Callithrix jacchus: one gene and its partner. The protein of the gene in region 1 binds, or shares a complex with, the protein of each later gene. Links are inferred from orthologs where the notes say so. Each region holds a gene or a part of one and is shown on either strand. Other genes may lie near its edges. The genes, in order: DKK1 and KREMEN1.

What was found.
Region 2: the proteins of DKK1 (region 1) and KREMEN1 are in contact, whole or in part, in a crystal structure (PDB 5FWW), measured with the Homo sapiens proteins. The link is inferred for Callithrix jacchus from reciprocal best matches to the Homo sapiens genes DKK1 and KREMEN1. Residues at the interface, in NP_036374.1 of Homo sapiens: Cys189, Leu190, Arg191, Ser192, Ser193, Cys201, Arg203, Trp206, Ser207, Lys208, Lys222, His223, Arg224, Arg225, Lys226, Gly227, His229, Gly230, Leu231, His261; in XP_011528731.1 of Homo sapiens: Pro67, Asn88, Asp90, Asp92, Ser94, Trp96, Gly105, Val106, Tyr107, Trp108, Tyr110, Asp127, His128, Gly129, Pro132, Thr140, Asn142, Glu164, Ser165, Tyr167, Ala168, Phe170, Asn189, Val191, Phe193, His196, Asp203, Gly204.

What each region holds. Positions count from the first base shown.
Region 1 is NC_133513.1:77,884,990-77,889,303, reverse strand, and holds the start of DKK1 (dickkopf-related protein 1 precursor), read left to right. Parts: upstream 1-1,310; 5' UTR 1,311-1,490; coding exon 1,491-1,733; intron 1,734-1,971; coding exon 1,972-2,134; intron 2,135-3,347; coding exon 3,348-3,488; intron 3,489-3,604; coding exon 3,605-3,858; 3' UTR 3,859-4,314. UniProt on the Homo sapiens protein: Antagonizes canonical Wnt signaling by inhibiting LRP5/6 interaction with Wnt and by forming a ternary complex with the transmembrane protein KREMEN that promotes internalization of LRP5/6.
Region 2 is NC_133502.1:199,743,464-199,748,032, forward strand, and holds the start of KREMEN1 (kremen protein 1), read left to right. Parts: upstream 1-1,510; 5' UTR 1,511-1,606; coding exon 1,607-1,703; intron 1,704-4,569. UniProt on the Homo sapiens protein: Receptor for Dickkopf proteins. Cooperates with DKK1/2 to inhibit Wnt/beta-catenin signaling by promoting the endocytosis of Wnt receptors LRP5 and LRP6.

The DNA of each region.
Region 1 (4,314 bases):
GAACTTTATTCTCTAAAATGAGAACTCTGTCTCATAAATATTAGTATTCACTGTGCCCTTTCCCCCACCACCCATCTCACCTAAACATTAAAACAATGAGGCAACAACCCAGAGGGCCACCCAGTACCAGGGCTCTAGGCTTCCAATGTGTTTTTGTTGAATTAAATAGATGACTTTCCATTTATAAGCATGATGCCATTCTTATATATCAGCCTTACTTTATTCTATCTACACAGCAATTTCAATGACGTCAGATTCACTGTCTAATTCACTTTCAGCTCTCCTCCTCCACGTAGTTTATCTCCCTAGAAGGTGTATTGCGTGGTCCTGTGCAAGGTTTGACTTGGGAGCAAACACTGCGTTGGGAAGCCTTGTGAAACCGTTTGCTAATGAGGAAGTCGGGATCTAAGCCCTAAGGGTTTCTTATCTCCCCGCATTAGCCCACCACTGAGAAGGCAGAACCCGAGAAAGGCGACTGACCCGGCACGTTGGACCCCGTCCGCTTTGGCCCCGGCCACTTTGATCTCACTCGTCTGCCTAATCAAGTTCATCTACTGCCGCGACTGCCCTGATTCAAAGAACAACATTAAATAGTTTGATTATCGGACGGGCATTTCCCTCTCCACTCCAACCTTGATCTAATTTCTAAACGCCAGTCTCTCGCCTCCCTCTCTAAACTTCCCATCAAAAGAGAATCAGCTCCTCTTCCTTCTTACCCTCGTTTGATGTGCAAATCTCCTCTTTGCACATTTTTATCGCAGTGGCGGGGGGAGGGAGGAGGAGGGCAACGGAACGACCTTAAAGCCAGGGACCTAACTCAGATCTACAAGCTGCGACTCTTAAAGGGTTAATGAGTAATGAGCAAAGAGGCGTCTTGCTAGAGCCACTGAATTACAGATCGGTTTGTATTTAATACTGAATACGACTTGTGTGCACAGTCAGCGAGTGTTGGCGTAAGCGAGAGGGGCGAAAAGTGCTTTTGCAGAGCGTGTCACCCCCTCGGCTCTGAAAAGTATTTCAGATCCGGATAATCCAACCCTTACCGCCAGGCAAGGGCACCCCTGTTCTCAGAGTTCCTCCTGCCGCCTGCATTTATTAAAGTCGTCTGCTCTGATGCTCGCTGGTCGCCCTCACCCCGAAGGTGAGCCGGGCGGGCCGAGCGACCCAGCAAGGGCGGTGGGTGAAGAGTGTCAAAGCCCCCCCTTCATGTACACAAACACACCCCCTCCCAGCCCCTCCCAGCGCTTTGAAATCCCATCCCGGCTTTGTTGTCTCGCTCCCAAGGGGCCGGAATGCTCCGGGCCGGCGGTATAAAGGCAGCCGCGGTGGCGGTGGCGGCTCAGAGCTCTGTGCTCCCTGCAGTCGGGACTCTGGGACCGCAGGGGGCTCCCGGAACCCTGACTGTGCAGCCGCACCGACACGGTTTCGCGGGGACCCAGGCTTGCAAAGTGACAGTCATTTTCTCTTTCTCCCTCTTGAGTCCTTCTGAGATGATGGCTCTGGGCGCAGCGGGAGCTGCCCGGGTCTTGGTTGCGCTGGTAGCGGCGGCTCTCGGCGGCCACCCTCTGCTGGGAGCGAGCGCCACCTTGAACTCGGTTCTCAATTCCAACGCCATCAAGAACCTGCCCCCACCGCTGGGCGGCGCTGCGGGGCACTCGGGCTCTGCAGTCAGCGCCGCGCCGGGAATTCTGTACCCTGGCGGGAATAAGTACCAGACCATTGACAACTACCAGGTGAGAGGCGTCGGGGAATCCGGGGATGCTGTGACCTTGAAAGGGTCGTATCTGGAGAGGAGGGAGTAGAACGTGATGAGTGTGTGCGTTTCAGCGAGCATTTGGTAACACTGCATTTGGGAGCCGTGGATGGTAACAGGTCCTGGAGAGGGGGACAGATAGGGACTGTGATCAGGTCCACTAGTGAGGGTACCTGAACGTCTGGATGCCTCACCCTCTCCCCGAACCCTTCCCACAGCCATACCCGTGCGGAGAGGACGAGGAGTGCGCCACCGATGAGTACTGCGCTAGTCCCACCCGCGGAGGGGACGCGGGCGTGCAAATCTGTCTCGCCTGCAGGAAGCGCCGAAAACGCTGCATGCGTCACGCTATGTGCTGCCCCGGGAATTTCTGCAAAAATGGTGAGTTCTGAAAGCTCCCTTTCACACGAAAACTGCCCGGCCTTTGAGCCTCTATAAATGGGGTTGGTGGGGGGGAGGGGGGAGGCGCGGGGAATCTCCGCCCTGAGAACACTGCGGCGCCACCTGCTAATGGGTGTACAGCAGTCAAGATTCAGCTGAAGTTATCTTCTTCATTGCAAGTGTTTGATCGGGAAGGAGAGAGAAGTTCGGAGGTCTCTGAGGTCCTTATCTTCCTCTGGGTCCCTCAATGATTTAACACAATGGCTTACCTCGTAGTGGACGCTTCCATAAAAATGTGTCTGGGGAGAACCTTGAGGTCAATTGAGAAGAGGGGTGATGGGTAGGACGGCTGGATCATACAGAGAGACCAAAGAAACCAGCTTTGGCGTTCAGCTGCCCTTTCCATTTTTCTTACTCTGTCTCTCACAGCTCTGCCAGACTGGCCTCTCCTTCTGATCCTTGGTGAAACTGTTGTCGGCCAGAGGACAGTGATTTATCAGCATTGGCCGTTTTCAAGAGAGATCTTGATAGGCGCACAGCCTGACCTCTCCATCCTTCCCCCTCCCTCTCCCCTCTGCTGCCTTAGTATAGGTACTCTTCCCCCAACCACAGATCCACTGACTCTTAGTTTTTCAAAGAGGTGGATTTAAACAGCTAAAGAGGTCTCCCGAAATAAACTAACAGGGCGACGGCCCTCCTTAGGACCCAGCAGTACTCCGGGATGAGCTAACTGAATCTCTGTAATATAGAAATTACACAGTAAAGTAACTGGTGGGTGAGACTGCAATGTTCCAGGCAGCTGGAATTGCATTTGCTTAACTTAGTCTGGCAGTACCCACATAGCACCAGGGGGAGAGAAGTTATTTTTAAGAACATTTTTTAAGTGACTGATTTTCTATTTCTTAACCCAAGGGTAATATTAAAATGGGCATAAATCTCACTTGCCCCTACCACAGTTGGTGGGAAAGTATTTTGAACGGCTATACTAGGTATGTAACATATGACTGACTGGATACAGTGTACACATTGGTGCTTCTGTCCATCTGGAGAGCTTTGCCTTAACAGTAGAGAGGAAGTTCGGCTTGTTTTTAAAATGATGTCACTGCAACGAAGTATCTCAAGTTGGTGCTGGCATAGCAGACTGCCACTGTCAGAGCTGTTAGCAGTAATGCATTACAACCCTGAAGTTAATCACTATTTCCTGCTTCCTTAGGAATATGTGTGTCTTCTGAGCAAACTCATTTCCGAGAGGAAATTGAGGAAACCATCACTGAAAGCTTTGGTAATGATCATAGCACCTTGGATGGATATTCTAGAAGAACTACATTGTCTTCAAAAATGTATCACACCAAAGGTAAGATGTTAAGACTCATTTTTAGCACATCAGAGGTGTCTTTTGAATTATTTAATGAAATGATGCAGGTTTACCAGTAACTGTGTACTTTTTTTCTGCTGTCTTCTCCTGTGTAGGACAAGAAGGTTCTGTCTGTCTCCGATCGTCAGACTGCGCCACAGGATTGTGTTGTGCTAGACACTTCTGGTCCAAGATCTGTAAACCTGTCCTCAAAGAAGGTCAAGTGTGTACCAAACACAGACGAAAAGGCTCCCATGGGCTGGAAATATTCCAACGCTGTTACTGCGGAGAAGGTCTGTCTTGCCGGAATCAGAAAGATCACCATCAAGCCAGTAATTCTTCTAGGCTTCACACTTGTCAGAGACACTAAATCGGCTATCCAAGTGCAGTGAACTCCTTTTATATAATAGATGATACGAAAATCTTTCACGACCTTCATCAACTCAATCCTACGGATATACAAGTTCTGTGGTTTCAGTTAAGCATTCCAATAACACCTTTCAAAAATCTGGAGTGTAAGAGCTTTGTTTCTTTATGGAACTCCCCTGTGATTGCAGTAAATTACTGTATTGTAAATTCTCAGTGTGGCACTTACCTGTAAATGCAACAAAACTTTTAATTATTTTTCTAAAGGTGCTGCACTGCCCATTATTCCTTCTGTTATGTAAATTTTTGTACACATTGATTGATATCTTGACTGACAAATATTCTATATTGAATTGAAATAAATCATTTCAGCTTATAGTTCTTAAAAGCATAACCTTTTCCCCCTTTTAATTCTAGAGTCTAGAATGCAAGGATCTCTTGGAATGACAAATGATAGTAT
Region 2 (4,569 bases), on another chromosome or scaffold:
GGCGAGTCTGCACACTGGGGCAGATTTTCCTGCCGCCGCGCCGGGCGCAGGTCTGCACTTGCAAGCCCGGGACCAGGGACTTGAAAGCGCCCGGCACGCTGCCCGGACCTGCCCCGCCGGGCGCCACCGCCGCGCTTTAGGCGGGAGTCGTAGGAAAATCCCCTCTGCCTGGGGGGAGTGCAGGGGAGGAGCGCGGCCCACTACCGACCCCGGGTGCGTCAGGGGAAGACCTTGCCGGGGTGGGGCGGGGGTGGGGTGGGCAAAGGGCCTACCAAGCGGGGGACGAAAGTTTAATCAAGCCACGAGCTCCCGCATCCCTGACATCCCAGGCTGCAGAATAAGCAGCCCTGTCCGGTCCATTTCTGGACTTTGCGTTGGGCGTCGTACTTGCTTCTATCTCATCGAACCCTCTGAGGCCTTTTATTATTCCTATTCTGCAAACTACCGAGCCTCAGATCAGGAAACTTACCCTAGTTGGCGCTGGCTGTGTGAGGGGATACGGAACGAGGGGTCAGTATGTGACTGCAAACTTGGGGGTGGAGAAAGGATTTCAGCATTTGCTAAGCTCCTACTGTGCGTGCGTAAAAGTTTCCGAGCTTTCATTTTTTCTTTTTCTTTTTAAAGACCCGCCCCGCCGGTCTTGCTCTGTCTTACTGCAGTGGAGAGAACAAGGCTCACTGCAACACGGACCTCCCAGGCTCAAGCGATCCTTCTGCCTCAGCCTCCTGAGTAGCTGGGACCACTGATTGGTGTTTGTTGTTTATTTTCCTGTAGAGATGGGGGGGGGGTCTCGCTCTCTTCCCCAGGTTGGTCTCGAACTCCTGGCTCAAGCGACTCTTCCATCTCAGCCTCTCAAAGTGCTGGGATCATAGGAGTTAGTCACCGCGCCGGGCTCCAGGCATTCTTATTTAGTGCAACCGCTCTGGGGAGTAGTAGCTATTATCACCTTCATTTAACAGATGAGGAAATTGAGGTAAAAGCTATTTTTCCTTTAAACCTGCCCAAGGTCTTACAGGTGACCAAGTGGGATGTGAACTCTCCAAAGCATTCCTTTTTAATCATTACGACGAGCTAATCAAGGGAAAACAGTTTGCAAACTTCTGTTCTAATTATTACCGCTGTAGCTGAGCCCACGCGCGGGTCACGACCCGAGTGAGGGTGGAGCAGGGGTCACTGGGAGCCCGGCCTATTTCAGCCCCGCCAAACAGCTGGGTGACTCCGAGGCCCGGCCGAGGCCCCGCCCCGCACCTGCTGATCCTACCCCTGGATGGGACAAACAGAGCGCCCTGCGGGGCGGGCCCAGGTGTGGGTGAAAGGTGGGCGGGGCCTGATGCGTGAGTGGCAGGAGCGGCGAGAGGCCGGGGCGGGGCGTGCGTGCGCAGTGGGTTCCGCCCCCTGGGCCTCTCCGCGGAGCCTGGCGGGCCCCAGGCTGCAGGGGCGGTGGCGGCGCTGAGCGGGGCGGGCCGGGGCGGGCCGGGGCGGGGCCGCTGGGCAGCCGGGGCGGGGCCACACTCGGACCCCGTGTCCCGCTCCCATGGCCGCCCCCGGCTCCCCGTGCTGCCCCCTTTCCCCCGGGCCGCGCCCCGGGGCCCCGCACTGACGGCCCATGGCGCCGCCCGCCGCTCGCCTCGCCCTGCTCTCCGCCGCGGCGCTCACGCTGGCGGCCCGGCCCGCGCCCAACCCCGGCCTCGGCCCCGGACCCGGTGAGTGTGAGCGACCCCCAGCCGCCCGCCCTGCGCGGAGCCCACTCGAGGAGCGACCAGGGCTGGCCGGCCTGGGGGCCCCCCTCTCGCCTCAGGACCTTCCTGGCCCCTTCCCCGAGCCCCTTGGCGACGCCCCTCAGGCCTGGACGGTCCTTCCCTGGGACCCGTTTTCCCCCCCAGGCCCCTCAGCGACGCCCCCGGGCCCGGTGCCTTCCCCCGGCTGCAGGACCCGGTGTTCCTCAGCGACGACCCTCAGCCCAGGACGCCCTCTCCGCCTTGAGACCTCCAAGCCCCTCCGCGACGCCCCCTGGTCTGGGACATCTCCTCTGTCTCGGGACTCGGGACGCGCTGCCCGAGTCCCTCAGCGACACCAACCAGGCCGGGACGCCTCCTCTCCCCGGTACCTCCTGGGATCCCGCCCCAAACCCCTCAGCGACTCCGCCCGGGCCAGGACGCCCCCTGCTCCCCGGTACCTCCTGGGATCCCGCCCCAAACCCCAGCGACTTCCCCCGGGCCAGGATGCCCCCTGCTCCCCGTACCTCCTGGGATCCCATCCCCAAGTCCCCCATCGAGGCACCTTACACCGGGTTGGCTCCCCGGCTACAAGAGGCTACATCCCCGTCACCAAGACCCTCAGCGGCATCCCTACCCCGGGCCAGGGTCCCCTCCCCGAGCCTCACTACGACACCCCCGCATCCCCCCGTTCTCTCCTCCCTCCTACACCGGTGGAACCCGGCGCCTCCCCGCGTCGAGCCGAGTGGAGGCGGGAGGAGCCGGCGCTCAGCTCCTTTTCCCGAGTCCTCAGCTGCACCCGCTTGGGCGGACATTGTAACTTCTGCCTCACGAGGAACGGGATTGACTTGCTCGCCCTGCTAAAGGCAGGTTAGGGTCCTGGGACCACCCTGTACCCAGACGGGACGAGACGTGCCCTCTGTCCTCTGGGCCGCTTTGAACGTCCGTAAGACTCAGGTGATGGCTCAGCAGGGGGAGAGGAAGAAAGGAAGGGGTGATTGGAAACTTCTCCCCTACTGAGCTTAGGGTGCTCTTCCTGAGGGTGCAGCTCCGAGCTCCGTGTTTCGGGTTACCCCATGCCTTAAACAGGCCACTCACTGCCCAGGCCAAGCCCAAGGCCAGGTCTTTCTGAGGTGGGGCCCTGGACCTGGATGAAGCTTGAACTTCACTTAACTTCCACACACAACCTTGTAGCCGAATCCTTTCTAAGTTGAAGAGAAGGCAAGAGGGCGTTGCTTGGCGCGGTTACATTTCTCTGCAGGTTGTTTGGGTGTTGAGTATAGGACGTTTGTGAAAGGGATGAGAAGAGTTTATTACCCCTCTGCGGGAGTAGGCAAACCCGCCTCTGGGTTCTCCACCCAACGTCGCAGACTGATGTTGAAAAGATGAGATTTTGCTTGTGTAAGAAAACTCAGTTGCCTTGTTTACTCATTTGCTTGGATTAGTGAAAAAGCTAGGACTTGGTGTTGTCACTGCGTGACCTTGAGCCATGCCTTCAGCTCTCTGAGCCTCAGTTTCCTCATCTGTAAAGAGGATGATAACTTCTTTGCAGAGTGTTGTGAAGATTAAATGATACACTGTAGGTAACAGACCCACATATAGGAGGCAGTCAATAAACGTATTTCAATAATACTTTTATAGGGCCTCACAGTTCATCAAGTGCTAGACACCTCATTTACCCTGGGAATGATTAATTTCTGTAAAAGGCAAAGCTTGGCTTTAAATTGGTAGAACTGGGGTCTTCAAGTGTTGTAAACCTGAGGCTCAGTAAGTGGTTTCTGAGTGATCACCACCTTTTATGGGACTTCTACAATATGATCATTTCCACTGTTGTGAGGAGTGAGGGACATTCCGAGAGCCAGGATATGTCAACATAACTGTAACCTAGTAACCCCTTAGCTCAACTTTGCTATCTGTGTGGTCAGGATTTAATGTCCCCTACAAAGAGAAATGTATGGGTGGAAATAGACTGCTTCCCCTTCTGGAAAGGGCAGAGTCATAGCTCTGAAAAGCATCAAGTGAGCCAACTCTGCTCATGCTTGTTGGAAGGTATTCTTTTCCCAAGTATCTTTGCTTTTTTAAGGTCAAATGCAGCAGCTCTTAGGAAGTTTGCACCCCAAATCTTGGTGTGCTTTTATAAGAGTCTGGGGTTGGGGCAAATAACCATCGTGAAATGATTCGTGATAAGTGGTCCAAGTTCCCAGTTCCGTGAGCCTTGCCAGCTTGGTGTCTTACCATCCTGGTAAATCAGCGTTTTTTTGTTTTTACTTTTCCTGTTTAGTTGCAGAAGCAGTTTTAGGGAGATACCACATGGTCTTCAGCAACATATCCTGTCTAGATCCTACCCACTAGCTTTTAAAATCCTTTCCAATAAAACACACACACACACACACACACACACACACACACACACACACACACACACATTTTACTCTGAAGATATGCCAAGCTTGCCATTTTATATTTTTTGATACTGTAATTTTCTCTAAAATATTGTGGATGGAAAAAATTATTTCAATATTTATGTTCTGTACAATTTTGTAATATTTAAATTACTGGTGGTTTGCATTTTTGAATGCTGACTTTATAAAAACAGTTAGCTCATTCCCCATCAAGCCTACTTCTAATTACAATGTGTAGCCAACCCCAAATGATCTTCCTTCTCTTCATTCTTCCTTTAAGATTCTCTTCCTTCCTTCACAACTCATAAGAAGGAAGATAGAGGGTAATGGAATCTAGATTTTCCTTCAAGGAGGAGTACAGTTAGGGCTGTAGGGTTGATGGGTTCTCTATAGTGGGTCCCATCTAGAATTTATGGAATTTATGTTCTACTCAAATTGGGTGTTTTACTGCC